Linked DNA regions of Saccharomyces cerevisiae S288C. Changing the gene in region 2 together with the main gene of any one other region gives a genetic interaction. Each region holds a gene or a part of one and is shown on either strand. Other genes may lie near its edges.

Region 1 (4,392 bases), 370 kb from region 2:
GCGACTGAAAACAAGAGCTCAAGAATATACTAATAGATTAAGAGAAAAGAAGCATGGGAAAGCCCATATTCATCATTTTAGTGATCCAGTTGATGGAGGTATTGATGAAGACGGTTATCAAATTCAAAGAAGAAGATGTACAGACTGCGGGCTAGAAACTGAAGAAATTGACATTTAAATGTTGGTTATGTATATAAGAATATAACAAGAAAGTCATAATAAGGTGTTTTGATTGTGTTCATTGATTGATATCCCATTTGTCACTCGTACATAATTAACTATCTCGGAAAAACTGGTTTGAAAATCTTTTATTCATCCACCTTATTTAATAATATGATTACAATCAATTCCTTGGGTGCATAAAATTACACCTATTCTTGCTTCTCTTTCTCGCCTGATAAAGTTGTTTTGCCTTATATGTTTATAGTTTTTAATATTTATTTGAAGGCCACATGGGGCCTCTTTCCCCCATTGGTTGAATAAGTATCCCTGTAGTGCGCCTAAAATGCTAAAAATAATAATGAACCTACACCTAGCATACCCGCAGAAATATACCAAATGGCATTGGAGGTTAAAAATGAGGTATTTTGTCTTTTAATGGCATTCGTCTTGTGTCTGTTTTCCAGGCTCCTCCTCACTAAACTTCTCAGTGATCTTTTCTTATTAGAGGATGGGTCGTCAGTGCTGGTCGCTGACGATGTTGGGTTCAAAGTTTCTGTTGGAAGCATCATTGGTGGTCTATAAGCCAAATATAGTGGTTGCATTGGAGTACCATCATATTGGTACAATTGCAGGGTGTAAATACCATGGTAAGGATCTATACCTACGGCATATTCCTTGAAAGTTTCTGTTTGGTTATATCTAGAATAAGTCGAAACTCCGTCATCATTGCATGGGTCGCTGAATAGTTGTCTACCGTCAACTTCAATAGGATTCAGAACTAACGTACCGTTTTCTGAAATGTTATATGTACCATGCTGATAAATCAACGAAGCCATGGGGCAAGTTGGGTTACGAGGATTGCCACTTACCTGGTAAGTAGCTTCTTCGTACCAACCATCTTCAGTGAACGAATAGCTAAGCCCGGGCAATGAAGGTTCTATCAATAGTTCATCTACGGGATCATAAAACCCCGGTCCCGTGAACACTTGATTTGATTTAGATGACCAGGTACCGTATATAGAGTTACTTTCGTCTTCACAATAGACCTTTTGAGCAAACAAATACCCGCCTAAGATTAGCTTTTTTAATGTAAACTTTTTCGACCACATAGTAATAAAGTGCAACAAATAATAATGGTTATAATACCGATCCTTTCCTCAGAATGATGTCTTACTTCAGTTTAATATGCCGGTAGGTTCTCGAAAAAGATGAGATCTCAAGCTTTAGTATGACTATATATCTATAATCTTAGAGAGGCTTTCTATTTATAACTGTTTGCTAATTACTACTCTCCTTTGCTTACCGCAAACGTTAGAACGAAAGGAAGAAAAAAATACTGGAAAATCGCGTCATCTTTTCCGTTCATGATGATAATTATATCAATCGTTGAAAGAATATTGGTATATTACTATTCAGCTGGTTTCAGGTGAAGAATATTGAGGCTAGATGTTTGTAGGTGGGCATTAAAATTATCTGGTATTAAAATGTCAAGTATGAATGTCATTATTACTTACGATGGAAAAGCGTAGTATTCCGTTATTAATTAAGTATATATGTAGGCTTGATGAGAAAATGGTCACAGTTGAGAGCTATTGTGGTTCCTTAACGATAGCGATATCGAAGACGCTCTATTAGTAAGTTCTCCTGTGTTCTGGAATATACCAGTCGTCATAAATTTGGCACGTTGTGGTATTTCAGCGGATGATGAGTTGGGAATTCTATTCTCTTTATTCCTTTCTTCTAGCATCATATTCTGATAATTGCTTGATAATGGCATGTTACCATTTTGGGTTTGATTAGGTAGACTGCTTACGCTTATGGCACTGTCACAAGCACTTTCGTTTTTAAACTGATTAAAAGTGTACATGTGAGGGGTGATCGGCGATGAATGGTCAATGTTGGTAGTACTGAAAACACTGTTGTCTGATTGTGCACTGAAGTTTCGCATTGGAGTATAATTGGTTCCCGAAGAATATGTGCTTGGAGAAGAAACTGATGATGAAGAGGCATTTTGGTCAAAGTAACGAGAATTGACAGCAATTTTTCTGGTTAGGTCTATTGTAGAGGCCAGTTGCAGTTTCTTTTGTAATTCCAAGTTATAATCTTTTACTTGTAATATGAAAGGTACTATACCATATTGCTCCTTATAAACTTCGACTAAAGATGGGGGAGAATTGACTATGCCATTGATGATAATGCTGAATACCTGCGTTTGAGTGTTTGAGTTTATATCATTACCAATGGGCATAGAGAGAAAAGGGCCTTGATCTTGATTAGTGAATTTGTTTATTATAGAAAACATACCATTGCATATTTCGTATAATTCGAATTTAAGCAAGTTGTATTGCCAACAGCTCAGATCAATTAAGAATCTTTTCAAATTTATCAATTTAATTTTGGAATTTAGTTCTTCATCTTCATCCATGGTAGTTGTATCGCCATCTAGTCCAGTACTTTGCGGTGAACTACTGATATGTTCTTCCACTGTGGCATCACTGTCGTCAGAAGATTGTGACTTTCTCTTACAGGACCATTCTTTGCCGTTGCTATTGTTATTTTGTAACTGGTTTTTGTAAAGTTCATATTGTATCAAACAATTTTCGTCAACGTTTAAAATGTAGTCATTAATCATGGGCTCATAAACGTCCCAGTTCAGAGTATCCAAGATATGTCTTTCCATTTGAATGAACATTGATTCATCGAATAAATCGGACCCGCCGCAATAATGAACCAATTCAGAAAGGCGTGGAATACGAGCTCTAGGATTGGGACCATAAAACCTACCACCTGTGGGGATGGAGACGTTGTTTATAATATGGTTGCACCCTCCCCAAGTTTTGGCCGCTAACCAAAGGCAGGTGCCTACAACTAGTTTAGCTTGGTCCTTTAACACTACTCTCTTAGAGCAATAGCGATCGTAGAACCTGACAGCGTGGAAGAAGATACCATTACTTACTCTAGTCATCACTGAAAGTTGATACAAAAATGTTACTATGGCTTCTCTAGTTTGATGAGGATTCATCTCCGGTTGCTGATCGATCAATTTTATGTCTGGTTTTGTCTTGGAAGATTGGACCAGCACATTTTGAGAGATTTCCTCGTGATATTCCTGTATGGTTTCGTAATGAGTTAGTAGTTCTGCATTGGACAATTCAATTGGGTAATATGTCTGCTTTGCAGTGACAATTAACCCAGTTTTCACTTCTGAGTGGTTCATGATCTTTTTATTTATTTTACAGAAATAGCTAACGAGCAGTGGAGTGGTGGTAGTGCTATTTTATTTAATTGCTATTATTGTTATCGTCGTTAAAATGTATTGTCAGCAAAATTACACTAATTTCTTCTATCCTGGGGAGATGGGATGAATAAATTGACAATAACCAGGAAATAAATTAAAGCGAACGAAGAACTCCTTGGCCAATTTGCTCTTAAGTGTGCATTCAACTAAGAAACTATTGAAGATAAGCATTACCAATTCCAAAATATATTCTTATATAAAAAGAGATACTAAGAAAATATCGAGAGATTAATTGCTGCACTCGCACCGGTACCACTTGGCGCAGGAAAACTGCGGTTTCCACAGGGGACCCACGCTGCCTTTACTCCATTCTCAATCTTGCCTTCTGCAGTATCTTTTTTTTTAATTTTCGAGTCTTCGTCACTTTCGAGTTAGTCTCCCTCCCAGCCTCGACCTGGCACCATTCAGCTCAATCCAGCAAAATCGCCAAAAATGCGTCTCCGATGCTTTCAAGGTTGGAAACTAACTAACGCGGTGCGAGATTCCCTCGAAGAAGTAAAATCGCGAATTCTTCCTTGAACGCGTCTCTTGCAGGCTGAACAAAGAAGTCGCTAGTGGATCGTCACAGAATGAACACGCCCACGAGCGGGATCTGGCTCGAGTTGTCATGAATACTGAAAGTATCAGGCGCGGGGTTGTAGTAGGTAAAGAATTTCTCCAAGAGGTTGTAGGAATGGACTTGTTTACCCCTTTACGCGCGGTGTTTTCGTGGCTTTACCGCATTGGGGTATGTCCCAGAAGAGAGTGTGCGCTATTCGATTTCCTATCAGTGAAGTGTTGCGAACAAGGGAATGCTGTCGAATTAGGAAAACAAAAGTTTATTCATGCAAATTTTGTGGCACGCTACCCTAAGTTCTCGATGATGTTTGGCTGCGTTTAAGTGAGTAATTTACATCCGCCTGTTAGTCCCGTAACATTCTCTTTTATTTTGC
Region 2 (4,943 bases):
TGGAGTGCGTCTGATTAGCATTGGCCGTCTTCTCCCTTGCTCCATACTTCTTTGCTTTCATAGCGCTTACATCAAATCCAAATATGAGACAAATACTCAAATCGAATGATTCGGTTAGATTTTGAACGATTTTACTTTGACCAATTAGTGCGTTTAACTTTTCACAACTTGGCAGCTTCGTAATAACTTCATTCCATATATTGCTTGGGTTCCACTTACTTGTCTTATCATTGATATAACCACTATAATCATTGTTATTCAACCAAGTTTTATTATTCGTATCACCTTCAATCTTTTTGCTTTTTTGTTTGATCCTCTGGTGTAAGATTTTGATCAGCCTAAATCTTGTCATGAAGAGTGCTAAATCATCTAATGACAACTGCGTAGCAAGCATCTTTTCAATATCTATAGAGGGTGATTTATTTTTTTGAGCATCCTTCACTTTACTAGAATTTTTTTTGGATATTTTCTGAATTTGTTCTTTTATACATTTTGATAAATGCGTCTCGTAATAGTGAATCTTATTATTGAGTAACTTTGAGTAACTTTCATCTAGTTCTTTGTCCAAAGTTTTCAACTCTAAAGAGTTTAACAGTTTTTCAATTTTCTTTTTGTTCTTTTTACCTATACAATTGTATAATTTGGCAGTTTTTGGATATCTTGGTTCAAACTTCTGTAATGATTTTGTCAAATAATGGTACTGATACTCCAACTGATCAAGCTTGTAGATAGAGACGGATGATTCGGAAGGCATGTTTCCTTTGGGTTATCCGTACACTTGACCTCTTTATACGTATATACTGGTTAAATTGCTTAAAGTAGTCATTCATACACTAAATGCACACAGTGATGAGGTAGATGAGATGAAAATTTTTGCCATATGGGCCATGTAATGTCTGGGTGTTGCTTTAATCGATCACTAACAGATGAAAAAGGTAGAATGGATAAAATACTTAAAGAATTTTATATGGCTTGTGATCAGACTGACGTGCAAATCATTTGATGAGACGTTTTCTTCATTGATGTTCTCAAGAAAATATATAGCTCAAGAAGTTGTCATCACATCACAATTAGTTATAATTAACGCAAGAGAAAATTTACTCAAGTTAATATATTTGAACTCAAATATATTGAAGAGATTAGAGTCGTCCAAATAGTCAGCATTACAATGGTTCGCTTGACCCAATTTCTAAATTTGCTAAAAATATTAAAGCTCAGTACCACGCCCTGTCACAGGCGAAATATCATCAAAGTTAATCGATAAACATTCGAAAAACGCAGTTGACCGTCGTGAAATGTGGAAATCATCATAAACAATTTTTGAAATTGGAGAAAAGTTAAAAACCTTGAAACAGTTTGTACGATCTCTCATCTCTCTCAGATAAATTTTCTAGTTTAAATTGCATCAGACACTAATTGCTCTTTTCAATCATGAAGATCAGACATATGCTTGTCTATTTGAGTAATTTGTTTCATCTTCTGCAGCATTGACGTCTCTAAGGTAGAAATTTTCTTTAAAAAACATGGAAGCAATACAGACACATCAACTGATGAACTAGTTATCTGTCGATTTTTTTCTATTTCCAAATTCTTTGCTAATCGAAAAGAATAATGTAAACAGCTTCAGAAAGGCATGAATGGTAATTTTAATAGTTGTGTCTTCACGAATGATCAGACTCGTCATCTATAAATATCTCATCATAAAAACCAATTCACATAATTATACGAAAATGAGAAAAAAATCCATTCTTCCCTATAGAAAATTCTGTTAGCCCTCAGAAAAACTTACAATGGATCAGTTGCGCGGGTTTTCTAGGCCCGCTAAAGCATTGTCACTCATTTGAAAGGATATTTGTTTCCCCCTCAGTGCCCAGTGCTGTGGATCCTCATTTCCATTGTATCAAATAGATCGAAAACATCAATCTACGGAAGAATAGCACTAAAAAACTACTGTTTTCTAAGCTTAAATGTATTCTTCCAATTTATGGAAATGTGTCAACTTTCTAGTATTTATTTTAAAGGTGTTTGCTAGGTCAGGATAGTGCAAAAACGTATCAACATATACTCGTTCAGCCAGTAATTCCAGCTTTTGTTTTTGTTATAATCATCATATGAACAAACACCTTTGAATAAATATGGAATAAAAAGAAAATTGAAATGGGTGTGGTAAATGAAAGGAGAGCAGAGAAATTGAAGAAATACTACTGTATTTCTATTTAGACTTTTCCTTTCAGTTTTTTCTTCTTTATTGCTAATTAAAAACCTCAGAAATAAGAATAAACGTTCTAATCACAAAAGATTCAGAAACTCTAGTTTGTAAAAATTTATTTTGGTCATCAAGGGAATAATTAGCCTGTGATAATGACAAAAGACATATCTGAAAAACTAACTTTGATAAAGAAGAAAAAAAGAACACGGAAAAAAACGTTTTATGGATTCAATTTCTCTCTCAGCCTTTCATAGCTCCCACTCATCTGAATATTTCTTTTGTATTGATCTTTGTGATGGAAATCATAGGATTCTAATATTGTAACTTATTAAAGAGAGGAAGCATTAATTGCCAATAACCATTTCTGCGTCTCTTATTTATACCCGAAGTAATCCTAGAAGAAAAAAAAATTTTCAGAAATGAAAAAAGTTCTAGATGTATGGGTGTGCGGGTAATGCTAAGATACGTTATTGAGGGCTGTCCGCAATGGTTGGGTTTTCAGGCACGTAATTTTCAAAAGAGTTGTACACGTTGTTAGTCAAGATGGTGAAAATGGTATCGAAGGACGTATTCTATGAAAGATAGAGTTTGTAGTAAGCCAAATATTAGAATTTAGCTAGTAAATCAGACTCCTTTCGAGGCAATAAACTGTCGTTATTCTGTTCATTGCCTATATGGTCGCTATAATACCTCATGCTTCCTTTACCACAATTAAACTAACCCAGAAAACTGAGGGAAGCCAAATGCCAACTGAGGAGATCTGCAAAATCAATATGAGGACTCGTAAATTTGATGTGGGCGGGAATTCTCGAGATTTTGAGTGCTTTTATTCGAATTTTGTTCAAACTGTTATATTGTTGGGCACTTTTTTTTACTGTGTTGAAAGGCTTCAGCCGTGGTCCATTGTTACCGCTGATATATCTTATAAACAAATCTTTGTAAATGTCTTTGTGGTGTGTTTGATAATGGTTGGTCTGATATTCACAAAATATTGGCAACATGGTTACAAAAGCCTACCCAAGTTCGATACCATTTACAGTTTATATTTACCGTTTATGGTTTCGTTGTTGTTCGATACATCATCTACGGTGATAAATACTATTTTGATCCTTTCGGTATTAAATTCATATAGATGGCGAACTCAGTTGGTAGTGATCATTTTACAGCTCTGCCTCATATTTTTTAATTTTGAGGCTGGTGACAGGTTAAAGAATATTATTAGCATAGTAATAAATTCTTTACTGTCGTTAATTTTGAAGTATATTGGGCAATTGAAAAGTTTAGATAATATCGACTCTAATCTTTTTAGTATCCTATTAACCAATATTCTGTACGTTTCAGAGGCTGGCACAGTACATTTTAGAATTTTGAAGGGCATTATCCTTGCTCTCACAACAATAATTTCAATTAACTATGTGCTCAAAAAGGTAATGCACTTTAAACCGTTTATGCTGTCAATATCCTTTGCCATCGGGCTTCCACTTTTTGCCAATACCTTCATTCATTTAGAAGACGGTGAAAATCCGCTACTTTGGCTGGTAAAATATATCTTAGAGTCTACTATTCGTCAAAAGATTTTGTTTGCTTGGTCTTCAATTCTTATACTGTCCATACCAAGTATATTGATCGAGAAGGACAGTCTATCGTTGAACACCTCCCGAAAATTGTGGCATTTCATCATTTTCTTACTCATAATACCGTCATTCCAAATGGATTCAAACTTTGTGAAAATTGCATTGTCCGGAACAATACCAGTCTTCTTATCAATTGAGTACATAAGATTTCAAAACCTACCGCCGTTAGGATCTGCTATTGAATTACAACTAAGAAGGTTTGCTGATGATAGGGACCACAGCGGGCCATTGATCATATCATACCTTTATTTACTCTTCGGAATATCAACACCTTTATTAATGAATAACTCTCCAATGGGTCTAATAGGATTGGGAATTGGTGATTCCTTAGCATCTATTATTGGTAAAAGGTATGGCCGCATTCGTTGGAAAGGTACACAAAAAACTTTAGAGGGAACTCTTGCGTTTATAGTAACGAGTTTTATCGTTTGTTTGGTATTGTTACGTTTTGATAAAGCTGCAATTTTTAACCACCTAACTACTTTACAATTGCTTACCCTTTGTACACTGAGTGGAGTGCTAGAAGGTAATAGTGTGCTTAATGACAATATTTTGATACCTGCATTTATGATGATTTGTGAAAAATTAATTACTCTTTGACAAAGTCAATTATTTTCAACTTTTAAAATTACATAACTAATTGTTTGCATTTATGAATAGAATAAAGAAAAGAATAGAGCAGTAAAGAAAAAAAAATAATTGTAAGTATTTTTTTTTCGTTTTATATCTAGTACTTACACGTAGTATATACAAGTATGGGCTATAGATATAAAGAAAAATAATAAATAAACGAGATTGTTAAGTTAGCTCTCTATTTCTTACCATGCTTCTTTTTATTGTTGGTTTTGTTTTTGCTCTTAGAGTTGGAAGAATCGCCTTCTATAAATGTTAACAACTCATCCACACTTTTGTTAGCCAATTCAGGTTTAACGTCATCCTTCTTTTGACGGTGATTGGTTTTTTTATGGCCAGCTGAATTTGATCCCGTTGTCGACATTTGATCTTGTGCAAGTTGCTTCTTTTGTTTTAAATCCATTATTAATGAGCTTAAACCATTAACCCACTGTCTTGATTGGGCTGAGTGCGTGTGATTCATACCC

Evidence for each region.
Region 1: of SEC59 (region 2) and ROT1, extra expression of one rescues a mutant of the other (dosage rescue), as found in Saccharomyces cerevisiae (one study listed by BioGRID).

The regions. Positions count from the first base shown.
Region 1 is NC_001145.3:661,631-666,022, reverse strand, and holds ROT1 (Rot1p), read right to left. Parts: upstream 1,272-4,392; coding exon 501-1,271; downstream 1-500. Other genes in the region: DNA repair protein RAD14, read left to right, coding at 1-178; cyclin CLN1, read right to left, coding at 1,739-3,379. UniProt on the Saccharomyces cerevisiae protein: Required for normal levels of the cell wall 1,6-beta-glucan. Involved in a protein folding machinery chaperoning proteins acting in various physiological processes including cell wall synthesis and lysis of autophagic bodies.
Region 2 is NC_001145.3:294,679-299,621, reverse strand, and holds SEC59 (dolichol kinase), read left to right. Parts: upstream 1-2,883; coding exon 2,884-4,443; downstream 4,444-4,943. Other genes in the region: BUD22 (Bud22p), read right to left, coding at 1-754; translation initiation factor 3 subunit CLU1, read right to left, coding at 4,655-4,943. UniProt on the Saccharomyces cerevisiae protein: Catalyzes CTP-mediated phosphorylation of dolichol, the terminal step in de novo dolichyl monophosphate (Dol-P) biosynthesis. Dol-P is a lipid carrier essential for the synthesis of N-linked and O-linked oligosaccharides and for GPI anchors.